Saccharomyces cerevisiae S288C: one gene and its partners. The gene in region 1 interacts genetically with each later gene. Each region holds a gene or a part of one and is shown in the gene's direction. Other genes may lie near its edges.

Region 1 (3,021 bases):
ACCGCTGTGCAATTTCTCAGCATAAGATGTGGAATCAGAGATAGAAGGGTCTTTTTTTTTCAGTTGGAAAGGCAGATAGCCGGATCTTTGAAAAAACTCAAGGGCAACAGTGATTACATAGCCTAGACCCTGCCAGCCGGCGCACGATATAAACAGTGGCCTTAAATTAGTGGCACCTATATCTGAAATGTACACAGGGAATTGCTCCGAGTGCATGAACCAATATATGGGATGGCCTTGACTGGCCCAGCAAATAAGCATGGCTATCAGCATACCATACCATGGAATGAAGGCAATCCAGGGTACTATGAACAGCCAGTTACCTGGACTTTTAAATTGAATCATGCTATTGCTTGTACCTTCTATGTGTTTTTACTATGTAGCAGAACTTTTTACTATGAATGTTAAAAGTATCTAAAGGAAAAAAAATCCCGCAAAAAATTGTGTCTTATTATTTAGGTTTTTAGTTGTCCAGATGTTAAATCAGTAAATCTCAACTTCAGGGAATAACTATATTTATAAACTGAATGCCCCTAAGAAGGAGTGAAAATTCCGGTTTCATTCTCCTTCGCTTAGATGACAAATCTTCCAGGCTGAAAAAAGTTGCTATTTTTCCAGTTTTTTTTTTTCATCCATTTACTTTACTGCCGCGGATCCTTCAATTGAACAGAGCCCTTAAGCCGCAGAGGGGTAAGAGATCTTCGTTTTTGAACAGCCGTGGAAGATGTTTAGAGTTGGATATGGCTGGCAAGACCGTTGTGTTAGTCTTCATTGATAATCTTGGGCCTTATCCCGTCCTACTTGCACTATTATAGTGGAAATGCGATATGTCCGGTGCGTCATAGAGGAACGGAGGCCCTTGCTTGATTAGTAGCTACTCCGATTAAATGCGGTAGTGCCGCGCGGGTAACAGAACAGCGAGTTTTTCCTGTTTTCTTTTCCGTTCTTTTCCGTTTGTTTCCGTTCTTTTCCGTTTTTTTTTTCCGTTTTTTTGGTTTGTTTTGGTGAGCTGAGGCATCAACAAAATAGATATCTACAGTTTGGGGTGGGAATAGAGCCAGGTTGATCAACGTATGGAAAGAGCAACATAAGGGATTGTTGACACAAAAAATGGATTCTGCAAGCAAAGAGGAAACATTGGAAAAACTTGATCAAGAAATTACAGTGAACCTGCAGAAGATAGACTCTAACTTGAGTTTCTGCTTTCATAAGATCACCCAGGACATCATCCCACACGTGGCTACATATTCAGAAATATGTGAGCGGATCATGGATAGCACCGAATGGCTGGGGACTATGTTTCAAGAGACTGGGCTGGTGAATTTGCAGGCAAATGCAGCTGCACCAGTGGGAAACGCTCCAGTCAAAAGCCTTGTGAGCAATAATGTTGGTATATTTCCTACATCCGCTGAAGAGGCGAGTAGGCAGTCCCAGACAGACAATGGGCCTAACGAGGCAGATTCAGCTGTACATGTCAACCGGGATGTCCATTCTATGTTTAATAACGACAGTATAGATGATTTCCACACAGCGAATATAACATCCACGGGACAGATATTGAAACTTCCGGACTCTAGCGACGAAGATACTGGTTCAGAGGCGGTGCCTTCAAGGGAGCAAACAGACCTTACAGGCGAGGGTCATGGTGGAGCTGATGATGAGCAAGATGAAAGTACAATACAGAGACAAAGCCGCAAAAGAAAGATTTCGCTACTTTTGCAGCAGCAGTACGGGTCTAGTTCCAGCATGGTACCGTCTCCGATTGTGCCCAATAAAATGCGGAAGCAACTGGCTCATGAAGAACATATTAATAACGACGGCGATAACGACGATGAGAACAGCAATAATATAGAGAGCTCGCCTCTGAAGCAGGGGCACCACCACCCGAAGGGACAAGCGGATGATAACAACGAAGGGCCCGATGAAGAAGAGAGTACGAAAGAAGTACCAAAGCCTGGGACCATCATTCATTTTTCTACGAATAGATAGAATAAATAAGTACATACAATTTTTACTAGTGATGAATATCAGAACGCAGGGTAATGGGCCCGCTATATTTTTTCTTCGATATAGGGAGAGCCACATTCAGAATATTCAGAGTATTTGCATGTAGAAATTTATTCTAAGTGCGCCAGATATATGCCGGGAGAGGTCATTAGAAAACATCTGTTTGTGTTTTAACTTGAATTACAATAACAATAATACCAGTTTTATATGGGGAATATAATGTCAGCTAGTTTTGCGCCTGAATGCACTGACCTGAAGACGAAATACGATAGTTGTTTTAATGAATGGTATAGCGAAAAATTCCTGAAGGGAAAATCCGTTGAGAACGAGTGCTCAAAACAATGGTACGCTTATACTACATGTGTCAACGCAGCTCTCGTCAAACAAGGTATTAAGCCTGCTCTAGACGAAGCTAGGGAGGAGGCGCCGTTTGAAAATGGCGGCAAACTAAAAGAAGTTGACAAATGAAGTATATATTTTAGCACAGAATGTGCATTATTCAACATGTAAATACTAATACTGCAATATCGACTTATAATAATGTATAGTGATCCGTATATTAATAGATCTGTTTCAATTCTTTACCTTTTTAGGATATCCGTCACCCGTGATTCCGTCGGAGGTGAGCACTCGCCCAAATAAATAACGGGAAATGGTGGCAAAAAGTAGTGGCGGGAAAAGGAAAAATTTTCGTTCTCTCCCATATAAACGTTTCATTCCTTTTCCTAAGTCTTTTACAGTAATTTCAGAAACATTCGTATTTTATATTTGATCTTTTGAAGCTACAAGAAAAACTCTTACCAATTACCCCAAAAAAATCACCATCATAAAGTACTTACATATTTATTTTTGTTTGGTCGTTTTCTCAATATAATCTACATCATCATATATATATAATGTCTACACAATTTAGGAAGTCTAATCATAATAGTCATAGTAGTAAAAAACTAAATCCTGCGCTAAAGTCCAAAATAGATACGCTTACAGAATTGTTCCCTGACTGGACGAGTGATG
Region 2 (3,203 bases), on another chromosome or scaffold:
TTTTCTTTCCTTCAAAGAAGAAGTCTGAATTAATCGTAAAGCTGACTTCCCTGAAATTGTTGTGAACAACGTAATTATGAGAGCCTCAAGCAATAGGTTAGAGCATATTTTCTGATCATTAAACATGGTTTCATTATATAAGATCTTCTCCAAATTTTCCACCGATGGAACATAATTTTTATCTTTCAGTAACTCTTGTAAGGGAATAAAGTCCTTAAAATGAACCGAATCACCTGAAGAATCTTCACTGGCTAAATTTTGCCTTTCAGCATAATTAGTAGCTGCTTTCTTTTTCGTCATCACTTTCTTACGTAAGTATGTGGAGTTAAGAGAGAAAAAGTGTTTGAAAAAAGCTCCTCAACGATCTACTGGGCTGCCAAAATAAAATTCAGCGTCAATGGAAAAGCTAACTAATGTAGATATTGCGTGCACTACTTGTCAAAAATTCGTGCTCCTTATTAATATATGTATATGTATATACAAATGTGTCAATACATCAATAGTGCAATTTGTTAAAGTATTTGTATTCATAAATTGGCGCTGCCCGGGTAAGGTAGAAATTGCATCAGATAAAAGTGAGGGCCCATTGTTTGCCATTCGAACACATCCATCCTACGTGGTATCAATGGTTGTTGATCCGCTCTCTTTCTGCTAGGAAGTACTTTACAATCCCCTGATAGGCACTCATATCGCCACAGCGGATGATATTACCAATGTCTACGTCAAGTGGAGAATCACAAACGGGTTCCCTTAGGAGTCTCCAAACAGCATGAACACAGTGTAACAAATCCCATACAGGAGTCCACTCCTCTGGTTTAAGGATGTTCAGACATATTTCTCCTGTGGCTGATTTAACATTGCAGTGCAAAATATTGTTCTGCATAAAACTTATCTTTGGTGGATTCATGGGGTAGGAACTAGGGACTTCTATTAGTATTCGAAACTGATGATTTTCATAAGGTGTGTCTGACGGCCCAGAAATTATAGCTTCCCACTTGCTCAAGTCGGTTTCGTCAATCGGGTTAAGTGACTCGATTATCCCCCGGTAGGGGTTCGCTATGGGGTCATCACTGGCCAATGTTTTCAGTATGACTTTGTACTCCTTCACGATCCTCGACATACATGTATCAGACGTATAGCTCCTACGATTCTCAAGAATCCAGAAGTTTGGCATATTATGTATAAAGGCGATGATTATGTATATTTTATGTTGTCTCCAGTAAGTGGCAGCATAACCCGGCCAGTCTGCGCTGCATGCTGTGAAGCAGTAATATGCGATATATACCACATATATTCCGCTTCCGTTCAGGATTTCGAAAAGAGAAACTTCAGTGAATGACTATGACTACATAGTTGGAGTCTTAGACCATTGCAAATGAGTTATTCAAGTATGAGAGATCAACACTGATGAGAATAAACTCGTCTTCATGATGATACGGGTAACGCGAATGTATCGCATCAATAAATTTCAGGGAAAGGGAGTTTGACGATCTCATGGATGCAACGGTTGAGGTATATAATATTAAGCAGAAAGAAGAGGAAAAAAAATAAATCGGTAAACCAACCATCAACGGTACGAAACTTACATTCAAAATCAATAATTTACTTTAGAAAAGAATGTCTAATTCTGCCAAACTTATCGATGTCATCACCAAGGTGGCGTTGCCCATTGGTATAATTGCTAGCGGGATTCAGTACTCCATGTATGATGTGAAGGGTGGTTCTCGTGGTGTTATTTTCGACAGAATCAATGGTGTAAAGCAACAGGTTGTGGGTGAAGGCACTCATTTCTTGGTGCCTTGGCTACAGAAGGCGATCATATACGATGTGAGGACGAAACCAAAGAGCATTGCTACCAATACTGGTACGAAGGATTTGCAAATGGTGTCATTGACCTTGAGAGTCTTACATAGACCAGAGGTCTTACAGCTACCCGCAATATACCAAAATTTGGGTCTCGATTACGACGAAAGAGTGTTACCATCTATCGGCAATGAGGTTTTAAAGTCTATAGTAGCTCAATTTGATGCTGCTGAGTTAATTACTCAGAGAGAAATTATTTCTCAAAAAATCAGAAAAGAGCTTTCTACGAGGGCCAACGAATTCGGTATTAAGTTGGAAGATGTCTCTATCACTCATATGACGTTTGGTCCCGAATTCACGAAAGCAGTTGAGCAGAAGCAGATTGCACAGCAAGATGCCGAAAGAGCCAAATTCCTTGTCGAAAAGGCAGAGCAAGAGAGACAAGCTTCTGTTATCAGAGCTGAAGGTGAAGCAGAAAGTGCTGAATTCATTTCAAAAGCCTTAGCTAAAGTTGGTGATGGTCTGTTATTGATTAGAAGATTAGAAGCTTCTAAGGACATCGCTCAAACATTAGCAAACTCATCTAACGTTGTCTATTTACCAAGTCAACATTCTGGTGGTGGTAACAGCGAGTCTTCGGGATCACCAAATTCCTTGCTTTTGAACATTGGCCGTTAAGTCTGGAAAAGCTATGAACACAATAAACTAGGGGAGAAAATTTTTTTTTAATCATATTAGAAACCTGTATATATGGGGGATAACAACGCCAATAACATATTCCATCTTTCCATTTAGTTACCAACACGAATACGTATGCTATCAATATCGTAACTTAGTTTTTTATCATTTATATATATACATGGATGAGCCTACGAAAAAACTAAAGCACATTCATGTATCACCATAATATTATTTTAGAAAGAACTTTTTTTGTTAAATTTATTTAATGCAAAGGTTATATAAAGAACGATCAACGAAAATTGTACGCGAATTGCCTTTTTTTCAGTCCAGTAGGCTTAAACCTGGGAAATTGTAGGTATGCCCATTTGTCTTCTTGCCCTCCTTCTGCTGAATCCGGTATTAGAGCCAAATCCACCATTTTGCATCATACCCATCGTGGCCACAGTCACTTTGATGAGGAATAGAAAACAGGAAAAGTAAAAAAACGCAACAGCAGCCTGAGATTGATGACATCTGGAGCTTGAGCCTTGTATGATCTTATTCTGTTCCAGATATGTTTTGTTTTTACACGAATGGCATCTTATACCTACAGCCAAAGCGGTGGCTGCTACAAACGTAAATATGAAATTTAAAAAATCCAAAACAAGCAAAATTGCTGGGTATGTTAATGATGTCCAGAAATTAGCCAAAAACCCATATAATGAATCCGTAACCAGACC
Region 3 (2,836 bases), on another chromosome or scaffold:
ATCCTAAATAACACAAAATATAAGGACCTAGGCATCGGGTACTTGTATTATTATGCCACCGATGCAGATTTCCAATTCAAAGACAGGTTTGATCCAAAAGCTACTAAGGCTTTGAAAACAAGATTGTGTGAATTGATTTATGACGCTTGTATTTTGGCCAAAAACGCTAATATGGATGTTTTTAACGCGTTGACTTCGCAAGATAATACATTGTTCTTGGATGATTTGAAGTTCGGGCCCGGTGACGGGTTCTTGAACTTCTATTTATTTAATTATAGAGCAAAGCCGATTACCGGTGGCTTGAATCCCGACAATAGTAACGACATTAAAAGGCGTAGCAATGTCGGTGTTGTTATGTTGTAGTGGCTGAAAGGACGAGGCGTATATAGTTTTCGTGTACATAGCCGACAGAATTTGACCACATTTAGTTTTTCCGCATAGTCAATTGACGAAGTGAAAAAATAATTAATCCAATGGCTGGCTTTAGAGTGTCAGCCTCCAAAATAAATCCAAAAATAGACAAAGAGAATCACTATAATTACCGCCTTGGAGTCCAAGTTGGCTTGAGAACTCGCATTTATTTTTAGCGACTGAGGTAGCTGAAAAACGCCTACTTTCTCAGAAGGCGGTAGTGAGCATATATAAGTATGTAAGAAAGATCAACTCTTCTGGACTAGATACTCACCGATCTAGTGAAAATATAAACAAACCCAACATATATATAAAATGAAGGCCTGTTCCATATTATTTACCACCTTAATTACTCTAGCCGCTGCTCAAAAAGACTCTGGTTCCTTAGATGGCCAGAACTCTGAAGATAGCTCACAAAAGGAAAGCTCAAACTCTCAAGAGATCACACCTACCACGACAAAGGAAGCCCAAGAAAGCGCATCAACTGTAGTTTCTACCGGAAAAAGCTTAGTACAAACTAGCAACGTCGTCAGCAACACCTATGCTGTGGCTCCAAGTACCACCGTAGTGACGACGGATGCACAAGGCAAAACCACGACACAGTACCTATGGTGGGTGGCCGAAAGCAACTCTGCCGTAAGCACAACTTCAACTGCCTCTGTGCAGCCCACCGGAGAGACGTCAAGCGGAATCACCAACTCCGCATCCTCCTCAACGACATCAACATCAACGGACGGGCCAGTTACTATAGTAACTACCACGAATTCGTTAGGTGAGACTTACACATCTACTGTTTGGTGGCTACCGTCCTCAGCCACAACTGACAACACGGCTTCATCAAGTAAATCATCTTCGGGATCCTCATCAAAACCGGAATCAAGCACCAAGGTAGTAAGCACTATCAAATCAACTTATACCACTACGTCAGGTTCTACAGTAGAGACACTGACCACTACATACAAGTCTACAGTCAACGGTAAGGTAGCGTCCGTAATGTCCAATTCTACCAATGGCGCCTTTGCCGGCACTCACATAGCTTATGGTGCGGGTGCATTCGCCGTTGGTGCCCTTTTGTTATAGAATGTATAATCAGTTCTGTATACCACCACATAGTTCTGCATTTTAATAAAACTCTTTCTTTTTATACACTGTAGGTAACCAATAATATAACTATTGTTATCATCGTGCTTGCGTATTTTTTTTCTTTCGGGTGAAAAACTCCGCAGTATTTCTCGCTCTCCCTGGATAATAAGCTAGAAAAAAAAAATATATATGACAGATGGATGAGTAATCATATTCAATAAGTATTGTCTGGCTTCTGAGACGGCGGTAAGATATCCTTAAGAGTTGCAATGGTCCTTTTACACAAAAGCACACATATATTTCCTACCGATTTTGCCTCTGTTTCACGCGCCTTTTTTAATAGATACCCCAATCCATACTCCCCCCATGTACTATCCATAGACACAATATCAAGGAACGTTGATCAAGAAGGAAATTTGCGCACAACGAGGCTGTTGAAAAAGTCCGGAAAGCTGCCCACATGGGTCAAACCCTTTTTAAGAGGTATAACAGAAACATGGATAATCGAAGTTTCCGTAGTGAACCCCGCTAACTCCACAATGAAAACTTACACTAGGAATCTGGATCACACTGGAATCATGAAGGTTGAAGAATATACTACCTATCAATTTGACAGTGCTACAAGTAGTACGATAGCAGACAGCCGGGTGAAGTTTTCAAGTGGCTTCAATATGGGTATCAAATCTAAGGTAGAGGATTGGTCGCGCACTAAATTTGACGAAAACGTTAAGAAAAGCAGAATGGGCATGGCATTTGTTATCCAAAAACTCGAAGAGGCGAGAAATCCTCAGTTTTGATGTTCCCATTTAAAGATCTTTAAAGATATCACCATGGGCGAGCGAAATTGAGAAAACTAGTGCAGCTCGCATTTGGTCACGTCCTAAAAATTGTAAATAAGCGCTGGTTCAACAAAATTTAATATACACACATATATAATTATTTATTTATAACAGTCATTCTGCTAAACTATACATCAAATGTCACTAATCTTGATATTATGGTCGTCCCTGTATCATATTAGACGAACACACCTGTTTTTGGGCATTTTCCGAATTTTTTTTTCATGCTAGCTAAGTCAGAAGTACTACATTAAAGAATTGAGAACTGACTGCTCCCACCATTCTTGAACTCTCGCTTTAAATTATCTTACTATCTTTTGAGTTCCTTGTAACTATTCTATCCTAACCACCACCTCAAAAAAAAAAAAGTAATAAAAATGTCTTGGGACGACGAAGCTATCAATGGTTCTATGGGTAATGATGACGCCGTTTTGATGGACTCATGGGATGCTGAAATTGGTGATGACGAACCTGTCATGCAATCATGGGATGCAGAAGAGGAA
Region 4 (6,812 bases), on another chromosome or scaffold:
TATTTTCCATGCACATAAAATAGAAATAAGCAAGCTGCTAGATGTATACAGGCACGCTCGCACACTCACACCATAAATGAATTTTTTACATGTATTTTATATTCTAGTAACCCAAGTAGTCTTCATTATTTATTGGCAAGGTCACTGTTCCTTGCAAAAGTAGAAAATAAAAAAAGAAAAAAAAAGAAACTCGTAAGAAAACAAGATTAAATAAACGTCTTATTTTATATAAGTGTATATATATATATATATATATATGTGACCAAGATCCTGAAGAACTATCGATTTTAAAAATAAGAAAGATGAACTTTTTTTTGGTAAAACATATTTAATGATATTATGCAAATGGGAAGTTGTTGGTAGAGAAGTCATCTCTCGATCATCTGGACTTCTTGCCTAATGGACTGCTAATATTCTCACGGTAGGTAATACCAGCAATCGCAACCATCTTATCCTCTTGTGAAGAGCTCATCGATGGACTCACTAATTCGTCACCTGGTAACAGTCCTTCACTTCTACCCTCATGGTTTTCATGAGCATCCTCTTTCTCCTCCTCCTGGCTCGATGAGATCTCATTACTGCCGTCCATGGCATTGAGGAGCGAAGACGATGGCGACTCTATTATGGAGAACCTGCCCGTTGCGGTATGTTTATATTTCTTTGGCGTCGTGAGATCCATGTTTGTGAATGATGGTGATTCGTCATATTCAAAGTTATCTAAATCTGTGGGCTTCCTCTTCCTTGGAGTTTCATTTTTCTTGTCAAAATTTTGCACCTTGGTACTTTCGCCCGCCTGCCTATCTTCGTCATCATCTTCATCGTCATCTGTGCTGCCCATGTGATCATCATCCTCATCATCTTCATCTGCACCATCTTCACGATAATCGTCGTCGTTGTCATCGTCATCTTCATCATCGCTATTATTCTTCGTAACATCGCTCTGACAATTTTGTCCTTTATTATCGCTATTATCATCGTTTATCCCGCAATCATCCTCATAGTATTCTTCCACCATGAAATTTTCATCTTTCAGCAAAACATTACGCTTACTCTTATTCCCCATCTCCCTATCTTCATCACCATCAAAAAATCCTTCCTCTTCATCCTCGTCATCGTAGCCTAGGTTGACACTCATTATAGAGTCGATTTCTCTAATAAAGGGTGCCAACTCCCTAGTATTGTTTTCGGTCATCCACGGTATCTTCATTAGTGAGACATCTTCTTGATTCTTGATGAAGTTAATATCTTTCTCCTTATCGTCCTCTTGCTTCTCACCGTGTGTTTTATCAAAAACCTGCCAACTGCTAGTTACCATGCAACATTTTTCTAGCGCATTTACAAACTTCTCCAATTCATTGATCTTGTAATATTTGAAAGGATCATAACACAATTCGCATATCCGAAGTATTGTGAATGGAAATGTATGATTTTGTAAAAAATTATCATTCAGAAACTTACCCAGCCAATTTAATCTAGTAACGAGATTTCTCGCATCGTTCATTTCATTCTTAAGGTTTATAAATAGGTCAAACGGTATTGTTTCAGTGATATGCCGGATTAAATCAGGCAAAACTTGCTCGGGACCCGCCGTCACCAATCGCGTCTTGTCGCCCTGTTTCACCACATCGCTAAGTAATTCATAAAGGCTGATAGACTTGATACCCATCATATTATTATCCACATCATCCAACATCGTCGAGCTCATAGCTTTTTATTGTGCTTTGACAATCGATGAGAACACCAACAAAAAATGATAATAGGTATTGTTAGCTGTGTCAAAATACATGCTTTTGATCGCGAAATGAAAAACTACACAATCATTACCCGTCGGCGCTTCGGAGGGGGATTAGATTTCTCCTATAATCAAAATCTTCAACTATTACAAACCCCTTTTCAGAAGCACATTGAAAACAACACACAACAGAGCACTTTGTGATAGGCAATAGAGTGCTTTTAAATAGAGAATTACTGGTTCTCGCGAAATAATATAGCGCGTTGAAACTAATAAATAGATTCGTGAAGCTCTAGATCTATCTTTTTTCCTGTTTTTATCTGTGTGTTTTCAATAGGATTCGAACGATATAGGCCATGGCATCTATTACTTTTAGAACTCCATTATCCTCTCAGGAACAAGCCTTTTATAATCAGAAATTTCACCAATTGGATACGGAAGATCTCGGGGTGGTCACTGGCGAGGCAGTCAGACCGCTCTTCGCGTCTTCTGGTCTTCCAGGGCAATTACTATCGCAAGTGTGGGCTACCGTCGATATAGACAATAAAGGGTTTTTGAACTTGAACGAGTTTTCGGCTGCTTTGAGAATGATCGCTCAATTGCAAAATGCTCCCAACCAACCAATTTCCGCTGCCCTATATGAGAGCACACCTACTCAACTGGCTTCTTTTTCTATAAATCAGAACCCAGCCCCTATGCAAAGCGGTAGTGCAACCGGCAATACAAACAACACTGATATTCCTGCCTTATCCTCAAATGATATTGCTAAATTTTCACAACTGTTTGATAGGACAGCAAAGGGTGCTCAAACTGTTGCTGGTGATAAAGCCAAGGATATATTTTTAAAGGCAAGATTACCAAATCAAACTTTAGGTGAAATTTGGGCTCTTTGTGATAGAGACGCATCCGGTGTCTTAGACAAATCTGAGTTTATAATGGCCATGTATTTGATCCAACTATGTATGTCTCATCATCCTAGTATGAACACACCACCGGCCGTGTTGCCTACTCAGCTGTGGGATTCTATTCGTTTAGAACCTGTTGTTGTTAATCAACCAAACAGGACTACTCCTTTGAGTGCTAACTCCACTGGCGTATCTTCACTAACAAGACACTCTACTATATCACGTCTATCTACTGGTGCATTCAGTAATGCTGCTTCAGATTGGTCTTTAAGTTTTGAAAAAAAACAACAGTTTGATGCAATTTTTGATTCATTAGATAAGCAACATGCTGGTTCGCTAAGCTCTGCTGTGTTGGTTCCATTCTTCTTATCCTCTAGATTAAACCAAGAGACGTTAGCCACCATCTGGGACTTAGCTGACATCCACAACAATGCTGAATTCACCAAATTGGAATTTGCTATTGCCATGTTCTTAATTCAAAAAAAGAATGCTGGTGTCGAATTACCGGATGTTATCCCCAATGAATTATTACAGTCCCCCGCTTTAGGACTTTATCCGCCAAACCCACTTCCTCAACAACAAAGTGCACCTCAAATTGCCATCCCCTCAAGAGCAAGTAAGCCTTCTTTACAGGATATGCCACACCAAGTTTCTGCCCCAGCAGTTAATACTCAACCAACAGTTCCACAAGTTCTTCCTCAAAACTCAAATAACGGTTCTTTGAATGATTTACTGGCTTTGAACCCTTCATTCAGCTCTCCTTCTCCCACTAAAGCACAAACTGTGGTTCAAAACAACACAAATAATAGTTTTTCATATGATAATAACAATGGCCAAGCAACATTACAACAACAACAGCCACAGCAGCCTCCACCTTTAACTCACTCCTCCTCTGGATTGAAGAAATTTACTCCCACCTCAAACTTCGGTCAAAGTATAATCAAGGAAGAACCAGAGGAACAAGAGCAACTAAGGGAATCCAGTGATACTTTTAGCGCTCAGCCTCCGCCAGTTCCAAAACATGCTTCAAGTCCAGTCAAACGTACAGCTTCAACAACACTGCCACAAGTTCCCAACTTTTCTGTGTTTAGCATGCCAGCAGGCGCTGCCACTAGCGCTGCCACTGGTGCTGCTGTAGGCGCCGCAGTGGGTGCTGCTGCTTTAGGCGCATCCGCTTTTTCAAGATCTTCCAATAATGCATTCAAGAACCAGGATTTATTTGCAGATGGTGAAGCTTCTGCTCAGTTATCTAATGCTACCACAGAAATGGCTAATTTATCTAACCAAGTAAACTCCCTGTCCAAGCAGGCAAGTATAACTAATGACAAAAAGTCAAGAGCGACCCAGGAGTTGAAACGTGTTACTGAGATGAAAAATTCCATTCAAATCAAATTGAACAATTTACGTTCTACCCATGACCAAAATGTTAAACAAACGGAACAACTGGAAGCACAAGTACTTCAAGTAAACAAAGAAAACGAAACATTAGCGCAACAGTTGGCTGTATCCGAAGCAAACTACCATGCCGCTGAGTCCAAACTCAATGAACTAACTACTGATTTGCAAGAATCTCAAACAAAGAACGCAGAATTAAAAGAACAAATTACGAATTTGAACTCGATGACAGCCTCCTTACAGTCACAATTAAATGAAAAACAACAACAGGTCAAGCAAGAAAGGTCAATGGTAGATGTTAATTCAAAACAGCTAGAGTTGAATCAAGTCACAGTAGCAAACTTGCAGAAGGAAATCGATGGTCTTGGCGAAAAGATAAGCGTTTACTTAACTAAACAAAAGGAGTTAAATGACTACCAAAAGACCGTGGAGGAGCAACACGCACAATTACAAGCTAAATACCAGGATCTGTCCAACAAGGATACTGATTTAACGGACCGTGAAAAACAATTGGAAGAACGTAACAGACAAATTGAAGAACAAGAAAATCTCTACCATCAGCACGTTTCTAAATTGCAAGAAATGTTCGACGATCTATCACAGAGAAAAGCTTCTTTTGAAAAAGCTGATCAAGAGTTAAAGGAGAGAAACATCGAATACGCTAACAATGTGAGAGAGTTATCCGAAAGACAAATGAATTTAGCTATGGGACAATTACCTGAGGATGCTAAGGACATTATTGCGAAAAGCGCCTCTAATACAGATACAACAACCAAAGAAGCCACATCAAGAGGAAATGTTCACGAAGACACTGTATCCAAATTTGTCGAAACTACTGTTGAGAATTCAAACTTGAATGTTAATCGGGTTAAAGACGATGAAGAAAAGACAGAAAGAACCGAAAGTGACGTATTTGATAGAGACGTTCCAACTTTGGGATCTCAAAGCGATAGTGAAAATGCCAATACAAACAACGGCACCCAGTCAGGAAATGAGACAGCAAATCCAAACTTAACTGAAACATTAAGTGATAGGTTTGATGGTGATTTGAATGAATATGGTATTCCAAGAAGTCAATCCTTGACATCGTCTGTTGCAAACAATGCTCCTCAATCCGTAAGAGATGATGTTGAGCTACCGGAAACGTTGGAAGAACGTGACACCATCAATAATACTGCGAATAGAGATAATACTGGAAACTTATCTCACATTCCTGGTGAATGGGAAGCTACCCCAGCTACCGCTTCTACTGATGTTTTGAGCAACGAAACTACAGAAGTTATTGAAGACGGAAGTACCACAAAAAGGGCTAATTCAAATGAAGACGGTGAGTCGGTCAGTTCTATCCAAGAATCTCCAAAAATCTCTGCTCAACCAAAAGCAAAGACAATAAATGAAGAGTTTCCACCAATTCAGGAATTGCATATTGACGAAAGCGATTCATCCTCTTCAGACGATGATGAGTTTGAAGATACCAGAGAAATTCCATCAGCAACAGTGAAGACCCTTCAAACTCCCTATAATGCCCAGCCCACATCAAGTTTGGAAATCCACACGGAACAAGTCATAAAATATCCCGCTCCAGGCACTTCTCCTTCACATAATGAAGGTAACTCAAAAAAGGCAAGCACCAATTCCATTTTGCCTGTTAAGGACGAATTTGATGATGAATTCGCAGGGTTAGAACAAGCGGCTGTGGAGGAAGATAATGGTGCTGATTCGGAATCTGAATTTGAGAATGTTGCGAATGCTGGGTCGATGGAGCAATTTGAAACCATAGACCATAAGGATCTCGATGACGAACTACAAATGAACGCTTTTACAGGGACGTTAACTAGTTCCTCTAACCCAACTATCCCAAAACCACAAGTACAACAACAGTCAACCAGTGACCCTGCTCAAGTAAGCAACGATGAGTGGGACGAGATTTTTGCTGGATTTGGTAACTCCAAAGCTGAACCAACCAAAGTAGCTACCCCAAGCATTCCACAACAACCAATTCCATTGAAGAATGATCCTATCGTTGATGCTAGCTTGTCAAAAGGTCCAATAGTTAACCGCGGGGTTGCAACTACTCCAAAGTCTCTAGCCGTCGAGGAGTTAAGTGGCATGGGATTTACTGAAGAAGAAGCGCACAATGCCTTGGAAAAGTGCAACTGGGATCTAGAAGCCGCCACTAACTTTTTGTTGGATAGTGCTTAGTCTGTAATGGACCATTTCGTCTTCTTTTTGTACTTCTTCCTCGAAGCTGAATCATATTTACCCTTTTCCAGGATCGTCCTTGTATATTGTGAATTATTCTAAAAGTAGAATATGTTGTACTTTAAAATTGTTATAGTTATCATCATCTATTTTTCCATTTTATAAAATTTTTACGTTAGACAGTTATGTATTGAAACTGCTTCATAAGTTTTGAAAATCATCCCAGTTTGGTAAATACACTAACCAAAAAAAAAAAAAGCTCTACCACATAATCTTTGGGCGTATTACAACATGGGAAACACGACATTATTGAAAATACAAAAAAAGTAAAGTAAGACTCGTTCAGGGCATAAGTCAATGGCCCTGTAAGAAAAAACAAAGTAGCTAGGCTCATAAGAGATTATCTGTTTAATTTTCTTTGAATAAAAAAAAGTATAAATCGATAAGATAAAATACCACAATGAAAAAATAAAGGCTACTTGAAAACAACTGGACCAAACCAAAACCCAATTAACCCAGACCAGTAATGAAACACGAATAGAAATATACCCAATCAAAATAGAAGGAAGAAAGACCAG

What was found.
Region 2: mutations in MDM35 (region 1) and PHB1 together harm fitness more than expected from each alone (negative genetic interaction), as found in Saccharomyces cerevisiae (5 studies listed by BioGRID, with this or other methods).
Region 3: of MDM35 (region 1) and UPS1, a mutation in one rescues a mutant of the other (synthetic rescue), as found in Saccharomyces cerevisiae (4 studies listed by BioGRID, with this or other methods).
Region 4: mutations in MDM35 (region 1) and EDE1 together harm fitness more than expected from each alone (negative genetic interaction), as found in Saccharomyces cerevisiae (3 studies listed by BioGRID, with this or other methods).

The regions. Positions count from the first base shown.
Region 1 is NC_001143.9:338,636-341,656, reverse strand, and holds MDM35 (Mdm35p), read left to right. Parts: upstream 1-2,214; coding exon 2,215-2,475; downstream 2,476-3,021. Other genes in the region: SFK1 (Sfk1p), read right to left, coding at 1-345; ASK1 (Ask1p), read left to right, coding at 1,111-1,989; DNA damage-responsive RNA polymerase-degradation factor DEF1, read left to right, coding at 2,904-3,021. UniProt on the Saccharomyces cerevisiae protein: Involved in mitochondrial distribution and morphology. Mediates the import of UPS1, UPS2 and UPS3, 3 atypical mitochondrial intermembrane space (IMS) proteins lacking the two major IMS-targeting signals, into the intermembrane space.
Region 2 is NC_001139.9:754,867-758,069, reverse strand, and holds PHB1 (prohibitin subunit PHB1), read left to right. Parts: upstream 1-1,617; coding exon 1,618-2,481; downstream 2,482-3,203. Other genes in the region: CCR4-NOT core subunit CAF130, read right to left, coding at 1-300; PEX4 (E2 ubiquitin-protein ligase peroxin 4), read right to left, coding at 623-1,174; FHN1 (Fhn1p), read right to left, coding at 2,820-3,203. UniProt on the Saccharomyces cerevisiae protein: Prohibitin probably acts as a holdase/unfoldase for the stabilization of newly synthesized mitochondrial proteins. Involved in mitophagy; may act as an adapter for ATG8 that supports mitophagosome assembly.
Region 3 is NC_001144.5:539,464-542,299, reverse strand, and holds UPS1 (Ups1p), read left to right. Parts: upstream 1-1,763; coding exon 1,764-2,291; downstream 2,292-2,836. Other genes in the region: glycylpeptide N-tetradecanoyltransferase NMT1, read left to right, coding at 1-363; NCW2 (Ncw2p), read left to right, coding at 727-1,491; HCR1 (translation initiation factor eIF3 core subunit j), read left to right, coding at 2,711-2,836. UniProt on the Saccharomyces cerevisiae protein: Required for maintenance of normal mitochondrial morphology. Required for PCP1-dependent processing of MGM1.
Region 4 is NC_001134.8:127,317-134,128, reverse strand, and holds EDE1 (Ede1p), read left to right. Parts: upstream 1-2,088; coding exon 2,089-6,234; downstream 6,235-6,812. Other genes in the region: PSY4 (Psy4p), read right to left, coding at 380-1,705; RRT1 (Rrt1p), read right to left, coding at 6,519-6,812. UniProt on the Saccharomyces cerevisiae protein: Functions at the internalization step of the clathrin-mediated endocytosis (CME) as an early-acting scaffold protein. Requires clathrin adapter proteins, ENT1/2 and YAP1801/2, for normal spatiotemporal dynamics and viability.